Oryzias latipes: one gene and its partner. The protein of the gene in region 1 binds, or shares a complex with, the protein of each later gene. Links are inferred from orthologs where the notes say so. Each region holds a gene or a part of one and is shown on either strand. Other genes may lie near its edges.

Evidence for each region.
Region 2: the proteins of ccnt1 (region 1) and cdk9 are in contact, whole or in part, in a crystal structure (PDB 3BLH), measured with the Homo sapiens proteins. The link is inferred for Oryzias latipes from reciprocal best matches to the Homo sapiens genes CCNT1 and CDK9. Residues at the interface, in NP_001231.2 of Homo sapiens: Arg5, Lys6, Arg11, Trp12, Arg26, Ile72, Gln73, Phe78, Phe89, Leu90, Lys93, Val94, Pro98, Lys99, Lys100, Leu101, Val134, Glu137, Ile139, Leu141, Gln142, Thr143, Gly145, Phe146, Glu147, Leu148, Thr149; in NP_001252.1 of Homo sapiens: Val8, Glu9, Cys10, Pro11, Phe12, Cys13, Lys56, Glu57, Gly58, Phe59, Ile61, Leu64, Ile67, Lys68, Gln71, Leu72, Leu81, Ile82, Glu83, Ile84, Arg86, Ile99.

What each region holds. Positions count from the first base shown.
Region 1 is NC_019865.2:25,910,460-25,927,007, forward strand, and holds ccnt1 (cyclin-T1), read left to right. Parts: upstream 1-6,886; 5' UTR 6,887-6,920; coding exon 6,921-7,093; intron 7,094-8,825; coding exon 8,826-8,907; intron 8,908-8,995; coding exon 8,996-9,124; intron 9,125-9,677; coding exon 9,678-9,738; intron 9,739-10,312; coding exon 10,313-10,375; intron 10,376-10,503; coding exon 10,504-10,561; intron 10,562-10,663; coding exon 10,664-10,827; intron 10,828-10,950; coding exon 10,951-11,021; intron 11,022-11,450; coding exon 11,451-12,725; 3' UTR 12,726-14,478; downstream 14,479-16,548. Other genes in the region: sarnp (SAP domain-containing ribonucleoprotein), read left to right, coding at 33-67, 1,134-1,159, 1,242-1,310, 1,883-1,969, 2,070-2,111. UniProt on the Homo sapiens protein: Regulatory subunit of the cyclin-dependent kinase pair (CDK9/cyclin-T1) complex, also called positive transcription elongation factor B (P-TEFb), which facilitates the transition from abortive to productive elongation by phosphorylating the CTD (C-terminal domain) of the large subunit of RNA polymerase II (RNA Pol II).
Region 2 is NC_019870.2:30,285,481-30,300,476, forward strand, and holds the end of cdk9 (cyclin-dependent kinase 9), read right to left. Parts: 5' UTR 14,971-14,996; coding exon 14,930-14,970; intron 14,806-14,929; coding exon 14,692-14,805; intron 14,442-14,691; coding exon 14,360-14,441; intron 14,010-14,359; coding exon 13,919-14,009; intron 13,316-13,918; coding exon 13,149-13,315; intron 12,285-13,148; coding exon 12,113-12,284; intron 10,775-12,112; coding exon 10,626-10,774; intron 10,558-10,625; coding exon 10,192-10,557; 3' UTR 9,986-10,191; downstream 1-9,985. UniProt on the Homo sapiens protein: Protein kinase involved in the regulation of transcription.

The DNA of each region.
Region 1 (16,548 bases):
GGTTTTTTTTTCTTTCTTTTTTTCTCCTGCAGGTTTGGTTCAACCACGGCGTCAAATCCCACTGCAGGTACGGCGTCTCTCTGTGACCTGCTGGTTTCACTGGGGGGGGGGGGGGGTTACTTTTTCCAGATGGAGGGTTCAGATTTAGCTGCTGAATGGGAAAAAAACAAACAAACCCTACATTTACTGTTTGTTTCATCGGCTTTAATTAAAGCATGGCCAATGAAAAAGAAGGAACCTGCTGAGGGAACACAGCTATGGTGCCGGCCTGTCCAGCTTCATGCAGCTGCAGACAGCTGTTCCAAATCCTGATGGTGCTTGTAATCTTCATTGGTCTTAATTCTCTCATTTTAGTCTATATTGTTTGTGTAGATGTGTGGTTTTTGTGGCAGATTTACAGATGATCTCTCACACATCAGAAAAATGATTAACCTTCAACCGTAGCAATGAAATGCAGCAATGCAGGACAATAAAATAACGGGCAAAAAGAAAAACGGCTTGTATGGAACTCCTATATATAAAACAAGAATATAGTAAGTATTAAAAAGCAGTCATCCAAAAGAAAAACTCTGACATCGCCACATCGCACATCACATTCACCTTTCAGGGATTCACTGTTTCGTTGATTTGTATTTTTTTTTTGTGCAATTTCGCGTGCTTTAACGTTTTTTTACAGTGTATTGTGTCCTGCGTCTTGATTGGCTGTAGATCTTGTCAATCATTCTCCTCGACACCGTGTCCCCTTTGCAGAATGTTTGCCTCTTCCATCGCCATCAGATCTTTGTTTTTAGACTTATTTTGCTTCGAAGGGTTTGAACTTTGAGAGTTCAAACGAGAGACGAAAGCGTCCAACTGTTCATGTGTGTCTGAGAAGAAATGTCTAACGTGTGTTTTGTCAGGTTTTGCTGCCGTAAAACATCTCCAATAATTGTAAAAAATAAGTGAACTACTTCAGATTTCCTTATCGTGGGTTCTTGTCAGAACAGAACTCCCACAATAAACAAAGAAATGCTGTTTGCAGAAATAAATGACAAATGTAATTTAAATCTAAAGTAAATTCAGAGAAAATGAGATGATGGTTTTTGTGATGGTGTCTTTGCTTCATGCTCTCTGTTGTCTTGCCTCCCATGCAGGCCTGGTGGTGAACAGTAAAGCTGCTGTAAGTCCTTCACTGCTCCTCGTTCTGCTCATTCTGTGGAGCCTCGGCAGACCAACAGTCAACGTTTCTGTCTCTCTTGAAGGTGGATGTTGACCAGCTGAAGAAGAGAGCGGAGAGGTTCGGCATGAACGTCTCCTCCATTTCTCAGAAGGTGAGAGCTTCGGCGCCTCACCACAGTCACTGGTTTTCCTTCAGGATTCTGAATGCAGCATCTGATGAAAGACGCCAGAGTTTACTCTTCTTCTATTGATTACAATTTAACTGGTTTTTATTTGAGGAAATATTTGCCTTTTTTTGCTTATATAAATGTCTAATGGTTGATGAGGACAAATTATTACAATGATCCCTGTAAATGGAAAATTCAGAGGAAGTCTGAGGATTGCACCAATTTAGTCCATTTAGGGACTAAGAGCCAGAATCTCTTTTTTTATTTTTTGTTATGGAGCCTGAGCCTGATGATGCTAACATTCTGTTACCAGCTTAATGCAACCTTTTTGTTTATGCACATAAATCAATATTTTGTTGTTTGTTTTTGGTAAAAAGTATATTACTTTTATCATCTTTTTGTCCTCGTTAAGTTTGATGGAGACTGATCACCAGGTGGCGCTAACGTTTATTTTTCTTCAAGAAACTGTCCTTGAACTAAGTTATCAAAAACTAAAACTAGATGTGTGCTTCAGTTGTCACTGGGATGAAGCAATGCAGTGTATTTGATTTCCTCAGATTGAGGAGGATGAGAAGCTGAAAAAGAGGAAGGAGCGGTTTGGGATCCTAACAAGTGCCTCCCCAGGCGGAGCAGAAGATGCTGAGGTACTTTTCCGTCTCGTTCACTTATCAGGGCAAGTCTGAAATGATGATACAAGTCTAGCTGGCTGTTAATGTCGCCTTTTTCTACTTTGTGTCTCAACAGGCAAAGAAAAGGAAGCGCGCTGAAAGATTTGGAAAAGTGTGAATGTTTGTTTTCTAGAGTTTCACAGCGGAGGGCAGACAGATGCTGTGCACGGTAGTTCTGTTGATCAAAAGTACACTTAAATACTAAGACGTCTGCTAATACATTTAGTCTTCAAAGCCCTAAAAAATTTATTTTTTTCCCTAAAAAAAGATTGGTAAACTATTGAATCAAGTATTTGCTCGAGGCTTCCTGCAAATTCTTCACAATAAAAGTCCTGCAGATCTGCGTTAGAGTGACTCCTCTGCAAATACTCTATCAAACATGGAAACCGGTCAGAGTCTTCTGCTAAAATAGGTAAACTGCTTATCTAGAGATTTTCAAAAGTTTCATTTGCTGTGGTTTTAGGATCATGATGCAGCATTTTTGTGCAGTGAAACGAGGAATAAAACTTAAAAAAAAAAAGTCCTCTGGAAAATATTGGGCTGAAATAAAAAAAATTCAGGCCCAAACACGGGAAAAGTCGTTTCCTCGTCTGACTTCTTTTCAAACTCTGACTGCTGTGGTTCACTCTTGGTATTTCTCTGTACTTTGACCCATCTGCCTGTTCATTTTTGTTTTTTTTTCCTTGGGGGGGGTGGGGGGGGGGGCGTCCCATTGTTACGCCTGTTTAATTATCTGTCTGTTTTATAACATTTTGTGATTTAAAATAAACTTTTTAATTTTTGGACAGTCGCCTCTTATCAGCCTTTTACATCAGTATTTTGGTTAACAGTTCAACCTCCTTAGCAAAATGTTGGGGTAGATCGTTTCTACATTCTGTCACATGAGCTGAGCATTTATGAGGTCAGGATAAAAATATCTACAAATGTATTGTAATTATGTATGTTATTTTAAATGAAGCCTAACCCCAAAAACTACCAAACTCTGTCTCACTGAGCCACTTTGATCTTGTTGAAATTGCCAGTTACATAAAAAAATACTTTACTTTCAGGAATCAGGATCAGGAAACTTCATTGTCATTTTATCATGATAAAACGAAATTAGGCTCTCTGGTCCCGGGCCAGCCGTTTACATTCAGACATAAATAAATATAGTATCAATAATGATATCAGACTGTTACGGAGTATTGCACAGAAGTATTTTTCAATTGCACAGTATGTTATGTTAAGCATTGCACAGCCCTGTGATATTGCACTTGGGAATTAGCTTGTTGTCCATGGAGAGGGGGGGGAGGGGGGGGTGTGCAGTGATCAACCGGAGTTCAGCAGTCTGACTGCTTCAGGAAAGAAACTGTTCCTCAGTCTGGTGGTCCTGCTCTTTATGCTCCTCAGTCTCCTGCCTGAGGGGAGCAGGGAGAACAGAGGGTGTGAGGGGTGAGTGGGGTCTTTCTGGATGCGGGAGGCCCTGCATCTGGTCGTATAGATATCAGTGGTGGACGGCAGGCTACAGCCCACAGTCCTCTGTGCAGCTTTTGTCACTCGTTGCAGAGCTTTCCTCTCTGCCGCAGAGCAGCTGCCGTGCCACACAGTGATGCAGGAGGTCATGACGCTCTCCACCACACACCTGTAGAAGGTCAGCACTGAGATCCCCATCCCAGCACGCCTGAGCCTCCTCAGAAAATACAGGTGCTGGTGTGCCTTCTTGACCAGGCAGGAGGTGTTGGTGCTCCAGGTGAGGTCGCTGGAGATGTGCACGCCCAGATACCTGAAGCTGGAAACCACTTCCACCCCGTCCCCTCCGATGTGAATGGGGGGAGGGGGGCATCTGTCCTTCCTGAAATCCACGATCATCTCCTTGGTCTTCTTCCCGTTGATGCAGAGCTTGTTGTCTCTGCACCAGCTCTCCAGATGTTCCACCTCCTGCCTGTAGTTGGACTCATCGTTGTTAGAGATGCGTCCAACCACGGCTGTGTCATCCGCAAACTTCACGATCAGACAGCTGGGGTGAATCGCTGTGCAGTCGTGCGTGAGCAGGGTGAACAGGAGGGGGCTCAGCACACAGCCCTGGGGGGAGCCCGTGCTGAGGGTGATCGGGGAGGAGGAGACGTTGCGGATTTTTACAGACTGTGGTCTGTCTGTCAGGAAGTCCAAGACCCAGTTGCACAGAGTGGGGTTCAGTCCTAGTGTGTGTAGTTTCTGGGTGAGGGTCTGCGGGATGATGGTGTTAAAAGCTGATGTGAAGAGCAGTCGAACGTACGCGTTCTTGTTCTTTCATACTTTACTTTCAACTAGTACATAAATCTACTTCACTCATCAAGAAACATAACTTTTACATATTCTCGATTAAAGTATATATATATATATTTATATTATTCTGAATTTTGTTTGAACACAGCTTGGAGACAAAAAACGGAAAGAAATGTTTAGGAACTTGTGAGAAGGAAAATATTTTTTAGTTTCAAAGAATCTAGTTGGATTTACAGTTTTGCAATAAACATTTTCTACTAAACTTGGTAGATCAAATTAACCTTTATTTATATAGCACTTTTACAACAACACATGTCACAAAGTGCTGTGCATAAAATACAATAAAATTTAAAAACAAGATGACAAGACAAAGAGTGCCAACAACCCCCCAAACACACACTCATACGCACACCATGATAAAAAAAATGATGGAATGTAGAGACCTGGCTTCCTCCTGAAGTGGGGAAACGATAAGTTACTATATTTAAAAGCTCAGACTCAAAGAAGTCATAAAATGTTTTCAACAACGATGTGGGGATTGGGTCTAAAAGGCAGGTGGTTGGCTTTAACTGGGAGAAAACCTGACCAAGTGCCACAGCATCAACCAGGACAAAACTTTCCAGTGTTTCCTCTGATAAATGCAATGCTATAGTTTTATTCAAAACGACACCTTTTTGAGTTAAGAGACTAGATCTAATAGCATTGATTTTACTCTTGAAGTGGTCGGCAAAACTCTCACATACAGCATCTGAGGCTGCTGTGGAGGACCTTTAAGAGTCTCTTTTAATTAAACTGTCTATTGTTTTAAAGAGAACTTTAGGATCATTTTTGTTTTGTAAAATCAAGTTTGCTTTTTTTTATTGCATGGTTGTACATCATTTGCGGTTCTTTAAAAATTTTGCGATGTATAGTTAATTTCGTTTTTCTCCACTTCCTCTCCGCACTCCTGCATTCACGTTTCATGGCTCTGATTGATTCGTTCCTCCAGGGTGCTGTAGCTTTAGTTTTCAACGTTTTAGTTTTAAGTGGAACTACGCCATCAATGGCTGTATCCATCATTCCATCCATCCATCCATCCATCCATCATTTCATTCATCTATCCATTCATCCTTCCATCATTCAATCCATCCATCATTCCATCCATCCATTCTTCCATCTATACATCCATCCATCATTCTATCCATCCATCCATCCATCCATCCATCCATCCATCATTCCATCCATCCATCCATCCATCCATCCATCCATCCATCCATCCATCCATTCATCATTCCATGCATCCATCCATCCATCCTTCCATCCATCATTCTATCCATCCATCCATCCATTTATCATTCCATGCATCCATCCAACATTTCATCCATCCATCCATCCATCCATCCATCCAACATTTCATCCATCCATCTATCCATCCATCCATCTATCCATCCATCCATCCATCTATCCATCCATCCATCCATCCATCCATCCATCCATCCATCCATCCATCCATCCATCCATCCATCCATCCATCCATCCATCCATCCATCCATCCATCCATCCATCCATCCATCCATCCATCCATCCATCCATCCATCCATCCATCCATCCATCCATCCATCCATCCATCCATCTATCTATCTATCTATCTATCTATCTATCTATCTATCTATCTATCTATCTATCTATCTATCTATCTATCTATCTATCTATCTATCTATCTATCTATCTATCTATCTATCTATCTATCTATCTATCTATCTATCTATCCATCATTCCGTCCATCCAACCATCCATCCATCATTTCATCCATCCATCCATCCATCCATCATTCCATCTTATTCTGCCCAGGTTGCGGTCAGTCAGCACCAAGGCCTTCCCAGCGCAGCTGAGAGACATCGTTTCTCCACCGTGTCCTGTTCTTCCCTGGGCCCACCGCCCAGTGGGACATGCCCAGAACGCCTCACCAGGGAGGGGCTCTGGAGGCATCCAGACCAGATGGCTGAGCCGCCTCATCTGGCTCTGCTTGATCTAGGGGAGACGTGGATCTACTCCGAGCTCTCTCCAGGTGATCAAGCTTCTCACCCTATCTCTACAAGACCGCCCAGCCACCCGATGGAGGAAGCTCATGTATTCAGGACCTCGTTCCTTCAGTCATCCCCCAGAGCTCATGACCACAGGTGAGTTTTGGAACAAATATTGATCAGTAGATTGAGAAAGTCAGAAAGTGAAGCTCCAATGGTCCACCTCCAGCACATGTCCATGTTTGTTAAATCATGCCAGAGGCTGATCCAGAGGAGCACTAGGAGAACAAAAATGCTGAGTTTTATCCCCAAGAACACCATACTAACTGTGAGGCATGGTGGTGGAAACGTTATGCTTTGGGGCTGGTTTTCTGCGAAGTGGACAAGAAGACTTATTAAGGAAAGATAGATTTGAGTGAAAACCTCCTTCAATCAGTTGCACTGTGAATGAAACGGGGCTGTATCTTTATGGAGTAATATTTATACCACCACACTGCAAAAAAGAGAAGAAAAAGTATCCAAAAAATCCAACACAGAATCTGTGAAGGAAATGCAAAAACCCATATTGCCTAGTAACACATTGGTTTTGGCGACATCTGTCGGTTACCAGAGGAACAGCGCCCTCTGTGACGTATGTTCCTGTGACGCGCAGAAATTTTAAACTCTCGTCCTTCTTAGTAATGGCGGCTTCGTTTCGTTCTCTCCCTGCAAGCAATAATAATAAATGGTACTTCACCAGGCAGGAGATCGACAACAACCCCTCTCGGCGAGCTGGACTAGACCCCGACAAGGAGCTGTCGTACAGGCAACAGGCAGCGAACCTGATCCAGGACATGGGACAGCGGCTCAATGTGTATCTTTTGTCGTGCTGCGTCGCACGTAGCTAGCATTAGCATGCTAGCCAGCAAAGTGTAACCTGCTCGGCCAAGAGCGTGGCCGGTATTTCTTGTGTTGTTCGACGGGTTCTTGTTTATTTGTTAGTATCGTGTGTTGTTGACTAAATGGCGGTTGTTTTCCGTCGCTGTTTCTACGTTAACATCTCCCTGCGGCGTCTCAGGCTAGCCGGGTCCACCAAGGCCTGTAGCTCGACAGGCCTGTCCGGGACGTTAGCTTCACTAGCCGCAAATGACTAGGAAGAAGTTTTCTGAACAGATGAATATATTCTGCTAAAAAATAAACAGCACAGTTATAGTATAAATTGAAATTGAATCAACTTTTTAGGAAAATTGTTTATTTGTAGGCTTGAAAAGCCTCTTCAGAGGCTGTGAGTGAGGGATTGAGGTTATACTACTGTACTGCAACCTGGCTTTCGTTGTTTGTGGTGTGGTGGTAAAAATCATGATGGGCTATTTTTATTATCCTCATCATGGACGCTTCATATGTTCTGGGGGGCCTCACGGTGAAATTTAAAGGAGGCCCTCCAACCAAAGGGTATCCTAAGTTATGGAAAGCTCATAAAACACGTGAATGTTGCTAAAGAATTCCCAGATTTAACTGTATTTCTTAGTTTTTTTGTTTATATGAATGTAACTAAGCTAAACGTTTTATTTTCAAATTAAGAGGCATGCTCAGACTGCGATCCAGAAGAGCTCTGAATAGGACACACAAAGCTCCCAAGAGCTAGTAATCTACTGTAATCTGCACCACCTACTTGTTTATTTCTTTAACCGCCACGACTGGCTAATTAGATGCACACCATTTAAGAAGAAAGGGAGGGGCTTTTATATCCTAAGCATGTTTGAATTCCACACCACTTCCACGGAAAGTGGCTTGGGAGAATCTGTCAAAGGTTGGAGATGGGGGGCCAGTGGGCACCAAATCATTTTACCGAGACATTTGATTGGTCAGTTTATAAATTGTGATTAAGAAAAAAAGACCAGGAAATAAATTTGCAAGAACCTGTAAAAAAATATATATAGCAGAGCAAGAACTGTTATTCTGAGTGACAAGCAGTGTGACTGAGTAATAGCCATCTATTTCTCTATAAAAGTCTATGGGAATTTTGGCTTCTTGGAGCCAGGGGGTACTTCCTGTTTGGAACATAAGGGAGGAGGGGTCAGTATGTCTAGTTTGTATTTACAGTTAATGTCTGCAACGTGTGCTATGCAGCCTATTCCAATTAAAAAAAGTCCGTGTAAATCTCGGACTTGGTAGTTGGGTATGGATGGCGTCACTTTTGATTCACGGTTGTACCGTCCATTTGATGATTTTAAAAGAGAAATTATCAGAGTTTGTGCCCAGCCAGAATTCTATGAACCAAGTCTTTCATGTCGGAATAGAGCTGTGAAAGAAAAAGCCTGGAGCAAGTTTTGTGAGGTTTTCCCCACTTGGACATTTCGCACCAAACTTCTAGTAGGTGGCAGACATGTGCTAACAAATGGTAATAAAGAGAGAGAAGAAGCCCCTCCCTACTTGGGCAGTGCGAAGACCATATGCTGCGATTACACTCAAGAATGTCCATCGCGTGTCCGGTGTGTCCGCAGCTTTAAGGATACACGTTCTGTCTGTGTCACTTTAGCAAAATTCTCTCCGGTGGCGTTTTAGGATTGCACAGTTTTTCCAATGGTCCTTAACTGGCGTGACAGCTCCCAACTTACCATTAACACAGCCATCGTGTACATGCATCGCTTCTACATGATCCAGTCCTTCACCCGATTTCACCGAAATGTAAGTGTTTTCATGTCCAAAACCATTTTGTTTTAAAGATTTATTTACCGGTGGAAATAAAAGTCACAACTTATCACCTCCTCCTCAGGTGATTTCTCCTGCCGCACTTTTCCTCGCTGCAAAGGTTGAAGAGCAGCCCAGGAAGCTGGAACATGTCATTAAAGTGGCCCATGCGTGTCTCAATCCTCAGGAGCCGTCGCCCGATGTGCGCAGCGATGTAAGTGTCTCACGGCGGTGAGATGAGTACTCGTCTGTCCTGCATTTCAAAAAAAACTGCAAAAGCGCTGCTTGGCTTGTAAATCTGAACTGCTCTCCTGTGTACTGCATTTCATTGAGCTGTCTTCTCAGTTCTTGTGTCTTAATTGTGTGCATCACTTAATCCCAGTTTTTCTTTTCTAGAAAGAACAATGTTTGCCATGGTTCTGTGATAAGAGGAGGGGCGGGGGGAGTTTCTTAACTCTTTGGTTTCTTTTTCATGTTAACTTTAAACAACCACTTGACCGACTTGTTGACGTTTTTTTTTTTTGAGACGCTGCTCCCTATGGGTTGAGAGAGCAAGGGTCAAAATGCGTCTGATTGTGTAGGTTTCAGTCACCCAGGTGATGTGATGTCTATCGGTTGTAAAACAGGAGTGTCTGCGCTCGCTTTGTGGACTTTTACATGAATGGACGAACATTTCTAGGACCACAGAGTGAGCTGCTCAGACACTCTTGTTTGACAACAGTTTGCAGGCGTCTGGGAGAGTAACATGCCTGTCCTCTCAACCTCAGGCTTACCTGACACAAGCCCAAGACCTGGTCATTCTTGAGAGCATAATACTCCAGACCTTGGGTAAGTTTGGGAGGCAAACCTGGGACCCTTCCTTTCCCTCCAGAGAATCATCCTGACCGAGATGACCTCTGCAGCTTTCTGTTTCCAGAAACTCCAAATGTGGTTATCAGCACTGGAAAACACATACTCAACTCATGTTAGAAGCATTTCCACCACTGTTCAGTCGCATTTCTTTCATTCTCTTTATCGTTTACCATTTCAGTCCTTTATTTTCGTCCTTTTTTTCTATATAAATTTAAGAATGCTTTTTCACAACTTCGTGGAGCAGAACATGTTTGAGGAACTGAAAATGATGGGCCATTTTTTAATTTTCCTTCTACTTTTTTGTGTGGATTAGGTTTTAATATTTTGATTTTGCCCAAGGTTTGATCCCATGAGAAGAGTTCTCATAAAACGTTGATCTCCACTTGGCGTTTTGTTTGAATAATTACACATTTTTTGTTTTTTTTCTTAGGGTCTTTGGTAACGTTACCTATCCAGTGGAAGCCAAATGGTTCAAATAAACCTGAACGTTTTAATTTGGCAACCAGTGAGCTGATGTCTTTCTCTTTTCTTGTCCCCCTTTTTGTGGCAGCTTTTGAAATCACCATTGATCATCCTCACACTCATGTTGTCAAGTGCACTCAGCTCGTCAGAGGTGAGCACCTTGTCCACAATATGCGTATATAAAGAAAAAAAATGCCGTCTATTTGGCACTATTCAACAACTTGTACCTCCAATTGTTAATTTGCAGACTTTAAGGTCTTTTTTTGTTTCTTTGTTTTGGTTTTATTGCAGCCAGCAAGGATCTGGCCCAAACATCCTACTTTATGGCAACTAACAGGTATGCCCTCCTTTCACATCGGCTTTACGGTGGGAATTTTGATGTGGAAATGGGCTGATTTGTTTCCTCTCTCTCTCTCTTTTCGTGCGTCCTGCCACCCAGTCTGCATTTGACCACCTTCTGCCTGCAGTATTGCCCCCCCGTCGTGGCCTGCGTGTGCATACATCTTGCATGCAAGTGGTCCAACTGGGAGATCCCCGTCTCCACTGATGGCAAACACTGGTGGGAATACGTTGATCCCACGGTTACTTTGGAGCTTTTGGACGGTACTTCACAAATCCTGTTGTTTTTTTTTTTAACTATTCTTTTTTGTAAATGCAAAAATGGTGTAAAGAACTGCAAATCCGTCTTTGGAGAGTTTGTGACTGTAGCCTGTAACTCTTTTGCAGAACTCACGCATGAGTTTCTGCAAATCTTGGAGAAAACTCCTAGTCGGCTTAAACGGATTCGGAACTGGAAGGTACGACTTTGTTTCTGCCTGTAAGCTAGCGGAGCCCACAGTTTCTTGGTCTCCACCTGCTCGGGCTTTCTTCAGGGTGGTGGGCGAGCAACGGCAGAGTGCACACAGCAGCCCAGCCGGGTGCCCGGTTCATGGGTGGGGCTCGAGAAGCACATGCTTCTGGACGGCACTGCTGCCTGAGTGGGTTTCAAATGCTCCTGCAATCTGGAGTGGCATTCACCCTAGGAACCGGCGCGTGGCTGTGCCAGCAGAGCCTATGCAATGGCAGGCAGAGGGGGCTGGTCGATCACACATCTGGCACTCTGTGTGGTTAAACATGCACATACGTGCACTGACGTATGGATCCGATTGGGCTCCCCTGCTGAAAGCCAAGCGCTCTCTTTTTGTGTGAATGGAACTTCTGACCTAATAATGTTTCTTGTTTCTCAGGCTGGAGGCCAGACCCCAAAGGTCAAGCCCAAGGTCCAGGAGGAAGGTGAACAGAGAGACGCCATGATCAGCATGATCTCCATGGTCTCATCAGAAAGTACTGTGGCAGGACTCATGAGCCTCTCCGCTCCATCGGGCTCCTCTTCCTCATCTGCGGGCGACAAGGTCACACCTGGGAGCGCTCAGACGTGGAGCGGGAAAGGTGCGTCTGCAACTGAACTACCGCCCAACCACGAGGTCCACGCTCCTGCCAAAGTGTCACTGAGTGAGTACCGGGCCAAGAACGCAGATGTACTAGCCGCCCAGAAGCGGAAGCTTGAGAACATGGAGGACAGCGTCAAGAGAGAATATGCCAATGCAGCGAAGGCTCTCATCGGCCAACAGCAGAGGAAAGAGAAGCAGCAGCATCACCACCAGCAGTCCAGCTTTTCTTCTGACATGTCTAACCCCTCGCCCATTATTTTGAAAATCCCCCTGGAAAAAGAGAGACACGACCGCTCTTTAAAAGTGCGTTATCCAGTACCTGGGTCAGGAGGGGGCAGCGGTGGCGGACACGGCAGCGGCAGCAGTGCGCAAAGTGGCAGTGACCGAGGTCAGGATGCAGACATTAAAGTCAAAATACGAGTGCCTGACAAACTAAAGACAGGCTCTGGGGAGGATGGTAAGAGCAGGGACAAGCACAGGGAGCGCTCTAACCACCACCACTATCACCATTCCTCCAGCAGCGCTTCACTCTCGTCCTCCCACAAACATTCTAGTACAAGTGGGGGCTTAGGAAGCAGTAAAAAAGTTCCCAATGACTCTTCTAGAACAAGTTCTTCGTCATCCTCAGCCTCACGGAAGAGGACGCACCTTCCAGACCCTGCAGCCGGCTCCCACCCGCCCCTCAAAGTCAGCAAGTCGTCCAGGAATCCATACCAACTACCGTCCCTGTCCGCTTCCTCTGGACAAACTTTGGGTCATGGACCCGACCTGCTTCCTGCTTTGGGCCTTTCCCACCACCAAGGGGCGTACTCGCACTCCAAAAGTGACAAGACGGACACAAATGGCCACAGTGCAGCGGGCGGGGTCCAGTCCAACGAGTACCAGGACACTTTTGACATGTTAAACTCTCTACTGAGCGCTCAGGGCGTCCAGCCGGCACAGCCGTCCATGTTCGAGTACCGCTCTCAGTACGGAGACTATAGGTTCCCCGCTGGGTCCAGAGGGAACAACCCCAGACCCCCACCCCTACCTTCAGAACCCCCTCCCCCACTTCCTCCATTACCCAAATAGCCCACATACTCACCGTCAGAAACGTCCACTTTGTTACAAAAAGTGTATTGTACAATGTTTCAAATGTTGTTTTACTTTTTGGACTTTTCTACTCACCCAACATCGTCGCAGGCTTCAGGGGGACAGCAGAGAAATGTACCGGGGTGAATTTTTTAAATTATGATTTGCATTTTATTGGTGGTGCAATAATATTTTAAGGATTTCTTGAGGAAAATCAAAAAGCAAACGTGTAGATATCTCTATTTTCTTTGGATAAACTCTGATGGTGGGAGACAGTTTCAAAATCCCGAGCCGTCTCCCATCACTTTTAGGTCCTTTTTAATCCACATCTTTTTGTGATGTTTTTATTTTTTACGATAAGTTATTTATTGACTCCTTTTAAAAAAACGTGTTGCTTTTTTTTTTATCTTTCTATGGCCCGCTCTGCTCTGTAAGTGCAGAAACGTCCTAAAAGTGTATCGGCTCATTTGAGAGTGCATGTTTCCAAAGCCATCTTCAGTTTTTAGTTTTCTTTCTTTCTTTCTTTCTTTAAAGAGCCATATAGAAATGATAGCCCTGGGCGTTCTGTTTTATTTTATGGACATTATTGGGTTAACATGAAAACAAAACTGCAGTATGTGTAAAAGAATATTTTTTGGACATTTTGTTATGGAAAATTGCCAAAAAAAAAATGGAAATGTAAAGTAAGGAAAGCTTGTACATTTAGTCTTTTTTAAGTGTTGCAGTCATTGTTTTAAATGGTTGTGAAATATCCATATTCAGTTCTCCTATGAATACACTTCATACTAAGGACATGCATAGAACTCGTCAGAGGTTTAACATATCCACCCATAATGGTCATGATGAAGGACTTGTCAACAAGATAAATGGGGAAAACGTGACAATATATTTCTGTTTCATGAAATGTAAAGGTTTTTGATGATACTTTTTAGCACATAATTTAAAGTGGTTGCTATGTGCATTCCTCAAAAACCTTTGCATGCATAATATAATTGTGTAAAATGAAATTGTTGTTAAAAATACCTCCATTGCAGGACCCTGAGTATAATGAGAAATGAATGTTTTCTATTTTGTATAAGCGCTCAACAGTGGAAAAGTTCAATTTGTTGACAAGAAATCTGGTATCTCCTGTACATTTCACACATGTAGCTTATTATGAATTTTAGTCCACCTGCTCCTAACTGGTGTCTTTTTTTTTTTATAAAAGTTTTTATAAAAACAAAGCTGTTTGGAGTACATCAAACCAGCCAAACTAATGTAAGATATTGTTTTCCCTTGATGAATTAAAAGTGTGCTGAAAAAAGGTCTTTACTTGGGCAGTAAAGGTTTTTGGTTGTAACAGGGAAATGGTGAATGCACTGAATTTTAATTTTTTTTTTCCTGCTTATGCAGTTGAATTAAGTGTTACATTTTCATGGTTAAAAATAGTGTGGATTTCTGGTGCGTCCATTTAAAACATGCTTTATTTTGATCTAAGAAATAATACATTCAAGTATTAAGGATACATGAAAGCTATTAAAACACGTTTTATAGCAAAACCATATAACAAGCCCAAGACACGTGTGCAACCTAACAATGCAAAAATCACAATTACAACATCCTAAGTTATGTTTTTTAATGTCAGGTGTTTTTATTGGCTCTCAGGTCTAGAATTCAATTTGTTTTCGTTAAAAAGGTATATGTGAACACTGATCTTTTTTATATATTGTGGTTGCTTTATTCTGAAAGTCAATAAATATATTAAATATCAAAATTAATGGAGTAATCAGTCATTTTCAACTGAATTGTATTCACTGCGTCGGTCAGAGGGCGGTTACGTGGTCTTTTGAGTTACATCTAGACTAGCCAATGAACCGTCTCCTGGAGTAACATTTCGACCAATCAACTTCAAGGAGGTGGGGCTTATTGACATCACACAAAGTCCAGCAACGATTCAGGGAGTGCAGGCAAGTCGTTGGAACGGCAGAGTTAGCATATTGCACAGCGGAAGGTAGGCAGTTTTTCACAAAAAGCGATGCGTTTCTGCTACTATTCTGGGTCTGAGACATTTTAATAATGACATGGTAGAAGACAAACCACTGTTTTATGTTTTCGAATTTGATTTAATAGCCTGGAAATGTTAAAAGGAAAGGATAGCATGTGGTTTAGCCGGCTAGCAAAGATGGCGCCTCCTTAGCCTAGAGGATGACGCAGTAGATGGAGGCGGGCTGGAGCGCCTTTCAGCGCGTTGTTCGAGTCAAACAGACGTACTTACGTTTACGTCGACATTTACATGTATGTAAAGTCTACTTATTTGGTTATAGTGGGTTATTTTTTCTTATTGTTAATATTATATTATTAATATTTTATTTTTTGTCAACATAAGCATACATACTGACACACTGTCTGCAAAAAATTAAAAAGGCTAGCTTCTGTGTGACTGTTGTTGCGTTATTGTTGTTGAGCTGGTTGACCCAACGTGTCGGACGTTTACCCCTGTTTTTAGTTTCTGTGGTTTAATGTTGGAGCAGCAATACACATATATTCAGACAGAGCGATCAGTTTTTTTCTATGTTATGTTATTTAGCGATTTACTTTGGCCAATTAAAAGATTATAGGTGTTTTGATTTTTTCATTGTATTTTGAAAGCAATGGATCTAACTATTTTTTTGGTGTCCGTGTTGCCATAAAGTCAGTTTCTTGTTGAATTTTGCGAATTACGAAATTAATTTTAATAAAAAGAAGACATGGTGGGAAAAGGTGGTTGAAAGAGAGCAATGATTTGACAATTTTGCCTTACTGATGCTTCTTTGTCAAGATTAAATATCCCCCTTTTTGTCTTGTTATGGTTTTCACAACAGTTTAACATAAACGTGTTTTATTCAAATTATTGAAAAATAGTTAAGGGTAAAGAAAAAATGTAATTTCTTTCTTCTTTTTGGGCTATATATTTACCAAAATATATATGTAATATACCGCAATCATATCTGTAAAAATAAAAGTTATAGAAATCTTGTCTTTTTTTATTTCAACGGGCCTATATTATTCAAAAATCACTTTTTTGAGCTTTTAGGTGTAGTAAAATGTTCATTCCTTATAAAAAATAACCACAAGGCGGTATTTTGACCCATTGACTGATCTCTGAGTATTCCTCCTAAAACCTGCTGTCTGAGCACCAGCCCCTCCCAATCCACAAAAACAAGCTGGTTCTCACATTGTGATGTAACAAAGTGAGGCAAAAGTTTGGATCTTGTTTGTTTTCGTGGGAGAAACGCACTCTAGGTCAATGCCATGAATTGGGGGGCACTCATATGGAGCAAAAGGGGGTTACTTATGGGTAGGAAAATGAGCTGCAAAAATACCTAATATTTCGTTTAAAAAAATCATTTTTTTTTGTGCCAAAGGTAACGTATCATTTAAATGCTTATTGTTTACTCTGAAAGGCCTTAAAAATAGCACGATATAGGTCCCTTAAAGTAATGTTTTGCTTTTTATTCTTAAGATTTTGGTTCATTTTTCAATAAAATACATTTCTTTTGTCTTGACACAGAAAAGACCACTGACTTCTTTCTAAGGGTTAAGTGTATGTATGTATGATATCTTAGCCTTTTTAGTAATACTTATTCTGGGCTAAATCTAGTCTTTGACCTCTTCATGCTGTATGTCACTATTTTTGCATCAGCATCATTTTCAATGGAAAAAACATTCTGAATGATAATAGGGTTAGGCATGAAGAGGCTTTTGTTTTCTTCTTAATTTTAAACTGTTATTTTTTTCAGTAGAAATTTATTATTTTCAGCATCACAGAACCAAAGAATTATGAAAAGCAGAACTTGTTGATGTA
Region 2 (14,996 bases), on another chromosome or scaffold:
TGTAATGTGTTCCTGCCCCCTGGTTCTCGTCGGAACTCGTGCCGCCGAGTTTTGTAAAAGTTGTAAGTTTGAAAGAGATTTTCTGGATTAACCAACGAGCAGGGCATTACAATAATCTAAAGGACTATAAATAAAGGCATTAGCACCTCTGTGCTGGCAAGAGAGAGGAACAAGCGGACTCTGGTTTTTAGGTTGATGAAATCCTGTTTTCACAATGTTTCTGATGTGAGGAATGAAATTCAGCTCAGAGTCAAAAAGTACAGCCAGGTTTCTCACACATTGAGAGGGTTTAAAATAATGAAGATGTTGTAAAATCATCTCTCTCTTGTCTTCAGAACCGATGATTAAAACTTCAGTTTTGTTCTGGTTAAGCTGTAGGAAGTTTTCTGCCATACATGACTTTATATCAAAAATACAGTTTAAAAGAGTGTTTATAGGTTCAAGGTCATCAGGAGACACAGCGATGTAAAGCTGTGTGTCATCAGCATAGCTGTGAAAGTCAACGCTGTCTCTCCTGATGACATCACCAAGAGGCAACATGTACAAGTTAAAAAGTATTGGACCCATAATCGACCCTTGGAGAACACCACAACTTATTTCATGGATCCTTGAGGAGCATGTATCCATACTTACATAAAAGATTCAAGCTGTGAGATAAGAATGAAACCATTTAAGAGCAGTTCCTGAGAGGCCAACCCCACTCCTAAACTGGTGATCTACTGTTTTACAGGCGGCTCTAAGGTCCAGCAGCCCCTGAACAGAAAGTTTCTGAGAGTCAGAATTTCATCCAAGATCATTAACGATCATTAAAAGAGCCGTCTCTGTTCTGTGGTTGGTCCTAAAACTGATATGTTTCTAAAGTGTTTTGGTTATTTACTCATGTAGGGCAGGTTGTAGCGTTTACCTGGGATAGAACTCGACCAAGCATCTCCGCATAAACCAGAACAAAACTCCCCAGTGTTTCTTCTGGTAAAAACAATGCTGGTGATCTGGTAAAACCAGTGTATTACACAGATGAAATGTTAGATCTTATTGCATTGATTTGACCCATGAAGTGGTCTGCAAAGTCCTCAAATGCAGCATTACATGAAGGCAACCGTCAGCTGGGAATGGTTTTGAAAGGTGAGATCAAAGTTCAGGCTGAGAAGACGGAACCACTATAGTCAGGATGAAACTGTCTGTTTTAAAGAGGTATGGTCTGTTGTAAAAGGTCGTGAAATTATCAATGTATGGAATGACGACATGTTTTTAACCAGATGTGAAGCTGGCGGACGTGTGAGAACACGATGTCTCCATTACGGGGTGCAGGTCGTGGTCCGGAAGTGATCCAGTTTCTGTTTCACTGCTGGATGCTGTGAATCAGAATGATGATGTTCATTTCCAGTCTGATTGCTGCAGTTTCAGGCTGTTGGTGCCTGCATGTGGGATGAACGTCTCCGCAGAGGGGAGTTTACCAGACAGTAGAGGGCAGAGTTTTTAATGTTTGACGACCGCTCCTGAGAACAACAGCATGTGGTACCCGCCAACCCGGACAGAGTCTCCCACGATGAGGAGCAGCTGCTGCACAGGTCCGGGTCTCCCAGCGACGGCAGCAGTTTTATCCAACAAAAATAAAAACATTTGTCCGTGTGGTATTACTGTGGTATTACTTTCATGCAGAAACCCACAAACCTCATATACAAACAGTCAGGACCATAAATATTTGGACAGAGACACATTCTTTCTAATTTAGTTTCTGTACATTACCACAGTGAATTTGAAATAAAACAACTCAGATGCCATTGAAGTGCAGACTTTCAGCTTTTATTCCATGGGTTGAACAAAAAGATTGCAGAAAAATGTGAAAAACTAAAGCATTTTTTAAACACAGTACCTTCATTTCATGGGCTGGTAAGTAATTGGACAATTGACCTCCATGCTATTGCATGGGCAGGTGTGGGCAATTCACTTGTTATGTCATTATAGGTGAAGCAGATAAAAGGAGTTGATTAGAGGACTTGTGCTGCATTTTGAAGATTTTGCTGTGAACAGACAACATGCGGTCAAAGGAGCTCTCCATGCAGGTGAAAGAAGCCATCATTAAGCAGAGCAAACAGAAAAAACATGAAACCAGAAACTGCTACAGTATTAGGAGTGGCAACATCAACAGTGTGGTCCATCCTGAGAAAGAAAGAAAGCTCTGGTGAACTCAGCAACACCAAAAGACCTGAACGTCTACGGAAGACAACAGTGGTGGATGATGGCAGAATCATTTCCATGGTGACGAGGAACCCGTTCACAACAGCCAACCAAGTGAACAACACTCTCCAGGAGGTAGGTGTATCAATATCCAAGTCTACCATCAAAAGAAGACTGCATGAAAGTAGATCCAGAGGGAACACTGCAAGATGCAAGCCACTCAGAAGCCTCAAGAATAGGAAGGCTAGACTGGACTTTGCTAAAAAGCATCTAAAAAAGCCAGCACAGTTTTGGAAAAACATTTTTGTCATGTCTTGTCAAGTTCCTGTCAGTCTCTGTTGTTGTCTCGTGTTTAACTTCCTGTTTTATTTTGTAGGTTTAACTCACCTCTCGTTTCAGTCCTTCCTCTCCCTTCCCTTGTCTGTTTCCCCACAGCTGATCCTGCCTCATCATCCCCGATCGTTTCCACCTGTGCTTCCCCTCCTCATGTATTTATAGCCAGAGTTTCCCTGTGTCCTGTGCCTGATTGTCTTGTTTTCTCCTTGACAAGCCAAGCCTAGTTTATCAAGGTCTAAGAAATTAAAACGATCCAAAACTCTGCATCTGAGTCCAGTCCTGTGTTCTGCCTTGTGTCAGTACAATCAGGCCAGAATGGACTCAGCAGAGCGCAGCGATTTAACTTCAGTTCTGCAACGCCTGGAAGCCCGCCTTTCTCAGCAGGAGGACTTCCAGAAGGCCCTGGCATCTCACATGGTGCAGGTCTCCACCCATGTTCAGGATCTCCGCCAGGGTCCGTCCTGGGTCACCACGCCTCCGGGTGCTTCTGCATCCATCCCTGTTCCTCCCTCTCCCACCATGCCTGCCTGGACTCAGGAAATCAAGATAGCCCCCCCCCGATCGTTACTCGGGGAAGCAGGGACTATGTAAGCTCTTTCTGACAGACTGTTCCATTCATTTTGAACATTCCCCCCATGCCTTTGTGTCAGACAGAGCTCGGATCGCCTTCATGATCTCCCATTTATCGGGGAGGGCCCGTGCTTGGGCCATGGCAGAGTGGGCTCGCGACTCTCCGCTCTGTTCGTCTCTCATTGCATTCCAGGAGGCTCTTCAGACCACGTTCGATCCGGTGTCTACCAGCCGGGACAAAGCGCGGGAGCTGACCAGCATACGCCAAGGTGGGGACTCTGTCTGTGATTACGCCATTCGATTTCGCACCTTAGCGGCCGAGAGCGGGTGGAACTCGGTGGCGCTGTATGACGTATTCCTCAAGGGTTTGGCTCCGCGCATCCAGGAGCAGCTCATACCTTTGGACTTACCTCCGGGTCTGGACTCCCTGATCGGTCTGGCCATCCGCACAGACAACCGGATCCCTGAGGGTCCGCTGCTGCATCTCAATAATATAACAATTAAAAACAGATATCCGTTGCCACTTATGTCCTCTGTTTTTGACCAGCTCCAGCAGGCCAAGGTGTTTACCAAACTAGATCTCCGTAACGCCTATCATCTGGTCAGGATCAGGGAAGGAGACGAGTGGAAGACCGGTTTCAATACACCCAGAGGACATTATGAATACCGGGTCATGCCTTTTGGGCTCACCAACGCTCCCGCCGTGTTCCAGGCCATGATAAATGACGTACTCAGAGACTTCTTGGACCGATTCGTGTACGTCTATTTAGACGACATCCTTATTTACTCCCCCGACCTAGACTCTCACGTCTCCCATGTCTCTGCGGTTCTTCAGCGGCTACTGGAGAATCATCTCTCCATGTTCCATGTCTCCACCGTCGCCTTTCTAGGGTTCATAGTGTCTGCAGGAACAGTGGAGATGGATCCTGCCAAGGTCAGCGCCGTGATGGACTGGCCGTCTCCTGACAGCCGTAAGAAACTTCAGCAGTTTCTGGGGTTTGCGAACTTTTATCAACGCTTTATCCGGGGCTTCAGCTCCATTGCTGCGCCCCTCCATGCCCTCACGTCTCCACGTATGCAGTTCCAATGGACACCGGCGGCCGAGGCCGCCTTCCGAGCTCTGAAACGCCGCTTCACATCGGCTCCGCTGCTTACCCTGCCTGACCCACACCGGCAGTTCGTGGTGGAGGTGGATGCGTCCAATGAGGGGATCGGAGCCGTCCTGTCCCAACGGTCTGAACAGGATGGGAAGATGCACCCCTGTGCGTTCCTGTCTCGCCGTCTCTCATCAGCGGAACGCAATTATGATATCGGCAACCGGGAGTTGCTGGCGGTCAAGGTGGCTCTGGAGGAGTGGCGGCATTGGTTGGAGGGGGCCCAGCACCCCTTCATCGTCTGAACGGACCATAAAAATCTTGAGTATATCCGGAACGCTAAGAGACTTAACGCTCGCCAGGCCCGTTGGCGACTGTTCTTTGACCGCTTTTCTTTTACCCTCTCTTACAGGCCGGGGTCCAAGAACGTCAAGCCGGATGCCCTGTCTCGCCGATTCGACCCCGCGCCTGTTGCCAAAGAACCGGAACCTCTCCTTCCGCTGACTTGTGTGGTTGGAGCAGTGTCTTGGCAGATAGAATCAGAGGTAAGGCAGGCTAACGGTGGGGTGCTGACGCCCAGTGGGTGCCCGAGGAATCGCCTGTTCGTTCCTCCAAACCTACGCTCAAGGGTGATTCACTGGGCCCACGCCTCACTGCTTTCCTGTCATCCGGGAGTGCGGCGGACTATGCACGCCATCTCCCGGAGATTCTGGTGGCCATGCATGGAGCAGGAGGTCCGGGAGTACGTTTCCGCTTGTTCAGTCTGTGCCCGGAACAAGTCATCCACCGGACGACGCATGGGACTCCTACAGCCTCTTCCCATCCCTTCCAGACCGTGGGCGGAGGTCTCCATGGACTTTGTCACAGGGCTTCCCCTCTCACGTGGTCACAACACTGTTTTGACGGTTGTGGACCGGTTCTCAAAAATGGTCAGGTTCATCGCCCTGCCTAGACTGCCTTCGGCCAGGGCCACAGCTGACATTTTCCTGAACCAGATCGTGAGGTACCATGGTTTCCCCAAGGACATTGTATCGGACCGGGGTCCGCAGTTCGTGTCCCGGTTCTGGAGGGAGTTCTGTCTGCTCATCGGCGCTACGGCCAGCCTGACCTCAGGTTACCATCCGGAGTCCAATGGCCAGACTGAACGCCTCAACCAACAGCTGGAAACCGGCCTCCGGTGCTTGGTCTCCCAGAATCCCTCGACATGGAGCAGGCATCTGGTCTGGGTGGAGTACGCTCACAACACCTTACCCACCTCGGCTACAGGCTTCTCGCCCTTCAAGTGCGTCTTCGGCTACGAACCTCCTCTGTTTGCGGCGCAGGAATCTGAGGTTTCGGTTCCGTCGGTCCACGCCCTGGTCCGCCGCTGCCTTCCCATCTGGGCTGCCGCTCGACAAGTCCTGGAACGACAACGGGACAGGGTCAAGACGGCTGCTGACCGCCGCAGGCGTCCCGCTCCAGATTACCATCCCGGACAGAAGGTCTGGCTCTCGGCCAAGAATCTTAATCTACACATCCCGAGTAGGAAACTGGCCCCGCGGTTTGTGGGGCCATTTCCCATCACCAAGGTCATCAATCCTGCTGCGGTTCGTCTTCGTCTGCCCCGGTCCCTCAGAGTCCATCCCACGTTCCACGTTAGCAACATCAAGCCGGTGGTGGACAGTTCCCTGGTGCCTCCCGCGGAGCCTCCTCCTCCGCCCAGAATGGTGGGAGGTGGTCCGGTGTACACAGTCCGGAAAATACTGGCCGTCAGGAAGAGGGGCCGGGGTCGCCAGTTTCTGGTGGACTGGGAGGGTTACGGTCCGGAGGAGCGGCAGTGGATCCCGGAACGCTTCATTGTGGACAGGTCTCTCGTGACGGACTTCTTCAGGTCCGGGGCTCCTGGACCGTCAGGAGTCGGTCCTTAAGGGGGGGGTTCTGTCATGTCTTGTCAAGTTCCTGTCAGTCTCTGGTGTTGTCTCGTGTTTAACTTCCTGTTTTATTTTGTAGGTTTAACTCGCCTCTCGTTTCAGTCCTTCCTCTCCCTTCCCTTGTCTGTTTCCCCACAGCTGATCCTGCCTCATCATCCCCGATCGTTTCCACCTGTGCTTCCCCTCCTCATGTATTTATAGCCAGAGTTTCCCTGTGTCCTGTGCCTGATTGTCTTGTTTTCTCCTTGACAAGCCAAGCCTAGTTTATAAAGGTCTAAGAAATTAAAACGATCCAAAACTCTGCATCTGAGTCCAGTCCTGTGTTCTGCCTTGTGTCAATTTTTTGGACAGATGAAACCAAAATCAGCTTCTACCAGAATGACGGCAAGAGAAAAGTATGGAGAAGGCGTGGAGAAGCTCCTGATCCAAAGCACACTACATCATCAGTAAAACACGGTGGAGGCAATGTGATGGTCTGGGCGTGCATGGCTGCTAGTGGCACTGGGACACTAGTGTTTATTGATGACGTGACAGAGGACAGAAGCCTAATGAATTCTGAGGTGTTCAGAGACAGACTGTCTGTGCAGATCCAGGTGAATGCAGCCCTGTCTGCGCAGATTCAGGTGAATGCAGCCCTGTCTGCGCAGATCCAGGTGAATGCAGCCAAACTGATTGGACGGCGTTTCATAATACAGATGGACAACGACCCAAAACATCCAGCCAAAGCAACTCAGGAGTTTATTAAAGCAAAGAAGTGGAATATTCTTGAATGGCCAAGTCAGTCACCTGATCTGAACCCTTAAGCAGCATTTCACTTGTTGAAGACTAAACTTCAGACAGAAAGGCCCACCAACAAACAGCAACTGTTTGCCGCTGCAGTAAAGGCCTGGCAGAGCATTCAGAAGGAGAAAACCAGCATCTGGTGATGTCCATGAGTTCAAGACTTCAGGCTGTCATTGACAACAAAGGCTTTTCAACCAAATATTAGGAATGACCATTTGGTTTGCACTTATTTAATTTGTCCAATTACTTACCAGCCCATGAAATGAAGGGACTGTGTTTAAAAATGTTTTAGTTTTTCACATTTTTCTGCAATCTTTTTGTTCAACCCATGGAATAAAAGCAGAAAGTCTGCACTTCAATGGCATCTGAGTTGTTTTATTTCAAATTCACTGTGGTAATGTACAGAAACTAAATCAGACAGAATGTGTCTCTGTCCAAATATTTATGGTCCTGACTGTAGGTTTACCTGCAGCTGTTTTGTCATCCAAGGCTGTCTTCAGGATCTGGACCTGGTCCTGCTCCAGCTCCAGACCACGGACGTTCAACCGTCAGCATGTTACTGTGCTTTCATTTCCCCCAAATGTCTGCTTTTTATTGGTCATTTCAAACGATTTAACAATTGAATGCAGCTAAATAAAAAGAAGCGTCTTCAGAACGCCGGTCTGCCTCTGTGCTCAGACTTGGCACAGTTCAGGAGTCCTTCACACGATGACGGGCATCAGGACTGATGATCTCCTGGTTCCTTCGCTGTCCGTTTGTGTGCAGATGGCTTCAGCATTAAGAGGCCCATCTGTCTGCTGGACTCCTTCAGAATGGCTGCTAGTTGTTGTCATCCTGTCGCCACACATGCACCCCCTTCCCAGACGTGACAGTGGAGGAGCTTTGGAACCAAAACGGTAATCCATCATCGGAGCAGAACCGGCCTGTGGTGGTTTGATGGTTATGAACACGCAGCATACATGTGTGGAGGAACGTGCACATGTATGCACTGCACAAAAACCAAATCTGGACGGCAACTATAAAGGAGAATATTTACTACAAACCACAACTTTTCAAATAACATGAATGCCACTTAAAGCAGATACATGCAAACTAACCTAAAGACATAAACATAGGCAAGGCAAGTTTATTTGTATAGCACAATTTGTACACAAAGTAATTCAAGGTGCTTCACAAAACAGAAAAATGCATTAAAATCACAATACATCATAGAAATAATCAACGTAAAATGTACTTTAAAAAAAAAAAAAAAATTGAAAATTGATTTAAAAAGAAAGGAAGGAAAGGAAAGAAAAGTGCAGATAGGACCTTTCAGTCATATAAACGGCTAAACAGAAATGTTTTAAGTCTAGATTTGAACATGAACACAGAAGACGCCTGTCTTACGACTTCAGGGAGGCTGTTCCAGATTTTAGCTGCAGAATATTGAAACGCTGATTCCCCTTTTTAGTTCTGACTCTGGGAATCAACAGGAGGCCGGCCCCTGAGGTCCTCAGAGTACGAGATGGTTCATATGGCACTAACATGTCAGAGATGTACTTTGGTGCTCGGCCATGGAGAGACTTGTACACAAGCAGAGCTGCTTTGAAGTCTATTCTTTGAGGTACAGGGAGCCAGTGCAAAGACCTGAGCACAGGACTAATGTGATCATACTTCCTGGTTCTGGTCAGGACTCCAGCAGCAGCATTCATACAAACATACAGACACAAGCTGGAGCAGAAGAAACACCAGTGACCCAAAAAGGCTTTCAGTAAATCATTCATTTAAAACAAATGAACAATAAAAGAAACTGTTTGAAACTTATCCTGTCCAACAGCTGAAGGCCTCTTTGTTGGACAGATTTGACTGTTACAGTGGGGGTTCATGGATCCTCAGACAGACAGAGTATATTTATATAAACCCCTTTAGGATTTGAGGCTAAGCTTTATTTATAATATTCATATTTGTATGTATTCCTTGTTGGACTAGACGGAAAAGGAGAGAGAGAGTGGGGTGTTAGAGGGGGGGTAAGGGGTGGGGGGTGGGGGGCTGATAATACAGAGTCATAACATAATATCCTCAGTAAATTGCATGACTTAGTTCACACATCAACCAATAGTCTGCACACAACTGTTTACAGGATGGAAGTCTATTCATACATTCATGATGGAAGATTTATCTCACAGGACTTCTGCACCCAGACAGACACACACTAGATCTGCATTACCAGTATTATTGGAGGGGGTGTAAAAACAACCCCCACGCCCATATTTGTGCTAAAGTCAATCAGCAGTTACTGAGGCTTTCTCCTGCTGCCAGCTTCAGTTGCACATCTTGAAGGCGTTCAGCTGTGATGCCAGAGGTGAGCTGCTGATGCTGCATCCTCCTTCAGAACTAAAGGTTTTCATTCCAAATGACAGCTTTGTTTTGGAACAAACTCCTTATCGCTCATCACTTTACCACATCATCGAATCATTCGGTCCTTGTTACAGGGCCACGCCTCTGGTTTTGTGGTCACCTCCTGTTCTGTCCTTCGTCCTGGGAACAGATGTTCCAGTGTCGACCCTCGTCTTCTTCCGGTCTCTGAATCCAACGCCGCCGCAGCAGATCTCTGACCGACCTCACTCAGGAAGCCTTTTCCTGCAGCCGGTGGGTCTGCTGAGCAGCCCTTAGACTGAACAGCCTCTGCTCTGTCCGTCCTCTCAGGTTTGTGGCTTTGCTCTTCCGTGCACACGTCCATCCATGATGGAATAAAGACGTCGCGTTCTGATGCCGTCACGCTAAACGGTCTCATCAGAATCCAGCCGGGAATACACAGACCTACAACGGTCCTGTACTGCGGTCTGGCTCAGTCAACCGTTTTCCGGGTCGTTGGACCCAATTACCTTCAGGGGTTTCCATGTTTACGTGCTTCCACATGTAAACAAACACGTTAGTTTTCCTTCTGGCTCAATTGTAGAACATGCCACAAACCATGAATCCAGGTAGCTCCTCCCCCTCCTAAACATCCCAAAGGAACAATGACGGCGTTTAAGTCAAAAGCTCAGAGGGTTTAGTGTCTGCGGCTCTCATCGTCACTTCCTCTCTAACCGACTCACACAAGTAAAAACCACTTTCCTGCTTTGCATTCAGACGTTTCCATAAATGTTCACGATTGTGTTGCTTTATTACAAAGAACATTTGAATGAAAACAATCAGTTCAACTGAAAAAGCTACCAGATTCTGGATAAAGGAGCATTTCTGTCCGTTTCATTCCTGATCCCATAAAACCTGAACGTTTGATCATAACTGGCCTCACAGCAGAGTCTCCGGTCAAACTCGGTCCAAGACGTCCAGTGGGGCTAAAAGACTCGGTCGAACTCCGTCTGACTGGTCGTGGCCGGGTTTCGGTTCTGGTTGGGCTGCTGTTGGGGGATGTGCCCCCTCCGTCTGGGCGGGGCCAGGTACTCAAACATGGACGTGTTGTGAGTGGACAGCATGTTCTTGAGGTCTGAGGGCATGGGGTCGGACCAGAAGAAGTCGTGGTTCAGGGCGTCGTCGCTGTCTATGCGCTGAGCCGGGTCCAGAACCAGCAGCTTGTCGATGAGATCCAGGGCGTAGGCGTCCTTCACGTAGGCTTTGAGGCGGTCCTTGACCTTCCTCTTCTGGCCTTTGGGAAGCTCCATTTTCTGGTACAGTTCATACTTTTTGTCCACGCCGGGCCACACCTGGAGAAACAGAAATGATTGACAGCGAGCTGCTGCAACGCAGAGCCCCGCCCCCAAAGACCACTCGCCTCTGCAGTGATGGAGCCACACAGCTGGCTGATCAGGGTGAGCTGGTGCTGCTCCGTGTTGCCTTGCATGATGGGACTTCTGGTCCACATCTCCGCCATGATGCAGCCCGCCCCCCACAGATCGATGGGGGGGCCGTAGTCGCGCTCCCCTGCAGGGAAGGAGAACAGGAACGCGATTGGTTTCCTGTTGAAGCCGTCTGCTTCTCGACTCGTCAGCCTCTAAAGACCCGTTTCCCTGACGACCACGACGTTTTCAGCCATGTAACCTGAAACCCGCGTCGTTTTCCGGAACCGTTTCTGCAGGAGTCGGGGCCGCAAAAAGGGGCCATGCAGCATCTGGGTCGCATAGGAGCCCCAAACCAGAGCTGTGAAAAGTATTTACAGTCCGCATTTTTTAATTTTACAGCTGTGCACATATATTTACATGATCAGTGACAGACACTCCTCATGTCTGGAAGACGACATTTCTATTAGGTCTGGTTCTTCTTGTAACAAGTTCAAATGTAGAAACCGATCTACGTCTGAAGTACTGAAGCAGAAAGTGTCCGTTAAAACCTTTTGGTTCTCTTGTTTCTTCACTCCCAGCTCAGTCAATCCTCCATTCTGGCCCCAAACCCTGAATCCAGTCACGTCACTTTTTAAAAAAAATCATTTCACAAATGAACGACTGGAGTCGCGTCGTCACCACGCATAATATTACTACTAAACACTCTCCATAGTACTGCTTCACAGTGATACAGCACAAGATGGTTACCGGTCCATAAACGCACAGGAAGCTTTAGGCTCCAACATGTGTCACGGATAACCGGATGAATAACCGGACCTCTTGGTGTCGTTGACCCGGATCTGTTTTCTAGACTGCAACGCTGGATTTCTACCAGACATCCTGAAACACTGAGCCGTGTCCAAACACGGCTTTTATTTCTGATCCCCGATCCACACGGATCCCTGCCATGGTCCGGCACACGCGTGTACAGTGGCGTTCAGCGGTACCGCCGTGACCCAGTTTGAAGGCTTGTTGTCCTGGCGCCGTGGCGGGACAAAGACGCTGCTGTCTGTCCCAGTGCGACGGGCTGGTAGCAGCAGGGAAGGTGGTAAAGCCGGACATCGTTGCTCCGTTTTTAAATATTCTTTTGTCGTTTCCCAGATGAACCAGAAGACTTCCTGGATCTGGGTGGTTTTTTACAATGGGAATATCGTGAGTTCAAAGGTCGGTAATGTTTAATAAATAGACCTCGATGAACAAATGCTTGGATGTGATGTGTGTACAAGTACTTAAATATATACTATGAAGGCTTTTTTCTTGTCGTTTGGTCCCATCTTTCTTTTTTTGCTGATCTGCTGCAGATTTACTTTCCAACAACATAAATGTGAAATCACCAAGACAACAGCAGGAATGTTCCGTTTTTGCACAAAGCCCTGAAAGACGACATTCTAATGTTTAAATTCCACGTTTCCAGCGTTCCTCAGCGGTTTGCGGCGTTTACCTAACAGCAGCTCTGGAGGTCTGTACCACAGCGTGACCACGCGGTTGGTGTAGCGGTTCCCCTGGCTGTTCTTAGCCAGGCTAAAGGCCCGGGCCAAGCCAAAGTCTGCCAGCTTGAGGACTCCGTCTCTGGTGATGAGGACGTTGGCGGCCTTCATGTCTCTGTGAAGGATCTGAGAACATGGAGGACATGCCGATCAGGTCTGTTCATCAGGTAGGGTTCATCTAGGCCAGCCTGACTGTAATAATGAAGCTGTTACACTAAAACACGACAAACTACAACAGCTGGGGAGCCGTTCCTGTGTTTACGCTGCTGTGTGTCGTCCCACCAACAACAGGTCGACAAATGTTTCTACTACAAAAGCCAGGAACTCCATAGATGGTGGACTCTGACCTCATCTGTTCATGAAAACCAGCAGCTGATCTGAGACTCAAAGTGGAAAAGCATCAGAGTATCCGTGCCACAGACATGATCTGTTCTTCTATTGACTTTATCCACTAGAATCAGAGAAAAACGTAGAAAAGTATGAAATATTGACAAAAAACAGGCAACAAAAACTCCCATCACCCACAGCGGGAGGCTGAACTTCTGCCACCATTTCAATTGTGATGTCATGTTAAACTGGCCCTGCCACAGACTGGTGACCTGTCCAGGACGCCCCCCGCCTTTGCCCACACGTGGCCGGGATAGGCTCCAGCAGCCCCGGGACCCCGAAAGGGACAAACGGCAGAAGAACAATGACCGACTGAATGTTAAACCATTTTATTTTGCATTCAAAATGTTAAAGTTCTTTGACTTTTCCAGAAGGTCTTTCAAACTTTTCAAGGACCTAGAAATGACATTTTCCAAAACCTTTCCAGGTTCTTCATGACCGTATGAACCCTGACCCACGGCCTTGCAATGCTAGTAATGTGTTGGGTGAAGATTTTTAAATAACCTTTTCAGCCTCAATACTAACAACGTTTTGCTTTAGAACAAACGGAACATTTCAGAGTTACAGTCCAAGTGAAGTTGGAGGCCAAAGTAAGAACCCCACCTTGTTTCTGTGGATGTAGTACAGCCCGTTGAGGAGCATCTGCATGACCTTCTTGATCTCCGCCAGCGTGAACTTCACGTTGGCGTTGCTCAGCAGCCCGGCCAGGTCGTGTTCACAGAAGTCAAAGACCAGGTAGATGCTGCCTTTATATCTGTTGAACTGAGTAGCTGTTGCAGGAACAACAAAGAAACGTCAACCAACACACCTCAGGATTACGGCACACACCATGACCCAAAGTATGAACCCCTACACATCTGAGGTAGTGCAGGGTCAGGGGGAGTTCAGACTGGAAAGGTCCGGTCCAGACCCAGTCCACTAAATTTGGTCCAGATCAAGTCCTGAACTTTGCCTTTGGTCTGTATTCAGGCTGAATTTCAACCCAACTTTTCTGATTCAAACCAAACCAGACAAAACCTCACAGCAGAAGATCTCTTCAGTCATTGGCCAGGAATTGCGAGGGCGGGGCAAAGCAACGAGAGAAAGAAGAATAGAATCATTTTCACTCCTTGTTGGGATAGTTCACTGATTCAAACTTTATATTTCAGTTTTGAACGTCTGTATCAACGTCAGGTTAAACACTTTGGTTGGGTGGAGGCGTACCGATGTAAAGTGTTGCCAAGACAACGACTAAGAAGGAACGCTGAGAAGAGTTTATGACGTACCGATTGTTGGAAAACAGTAAGAAGTGATGTGTGTCACGTTAAAGGTTGCTCTAAAGAGTGAGTTGCTGTGTCCCGGACCGCTCTGTCAGACATTGAAAACATACAAACCTTTGGTTCTGCAGATCTCGATCAGATTGACCACGTTCTCATGTTTGAGCAGCTGCAGGATTTTAATCTCCCTCAGAGCTGTGATTGGAAACTGAAATACAGAACAGAAGCTGCTTCAACAAGTAAACTTCCTGGTACCTTCAGGAAGGATTTATTGTTCTCCAACCATGTTAGAAGACAGACGTTTCTGTTCTCCATCCAGTCAGTCATTTGGTTTAGATACAACTCTTATTTAAATACAATAAACACTGTTTTAGGGACAGACTGCTCTTTATTCACTATCTTTTATCAGTAAACAGAGCTCGTCTGTGAAGTGAAACAAGTAAAAACCAACAACTATGTAACGTCATCCCAACAGGTGTCTCACGTCACTTTTCTTTAGCACACGCTCATCATCATCATCATCTCCTTCCTCACACCAGCCCCTCTCAGATCTCTCACCCCTTCTTTCTCATTTTCCATCAGCACTTTCTTCAGAGCGACCTTCTTCCCCGTCGTTCTGTGTTTGGCTTTGAAAACCTCCCTGTAGAAAACAAACGTTCAGAAAACACAATCACGCTTTCCTAAATGACACGTTTGTCATAAAACACTCTTTACTCTCTTCTTCCGGTTCGGAAGAACACAGAACTACAGCCTACATAATGTTTTTGGACCAAATCTACAAACAATTTCCCACAATCCACCTCGTCACCGGATGCAGAACACCGACGGAAAGCAGCTCTGAATGACAAACATTAGCTAACAGAATGACTGCAGACCCACAGAAGGCTCACCCGAAGGTTCCTTGTCCGATCTTCGCCATCTTTTCGTACTTGGAGAACTCGTCGCAGAAAGGGAATTCCACTCCGTCGTAGTATTTAGACATTATGGCGGCCTCCCGGTCGGGCCTTGAGAGGATAAAACACACCATTTCAGAACTTTTACACCGTGACAAAACATATTTCGAAGCGAAGAGCGCTGGTAAAACACACAAAAATGGGATTGAATTCGCTTGAATGCCTTAGTTCTTACTTTTCAGCCGCACTGGCGTTGCTTGTTTTGTCTCGTTGCATCCTGAAGCTCCGCGTCTTCTTCTGTC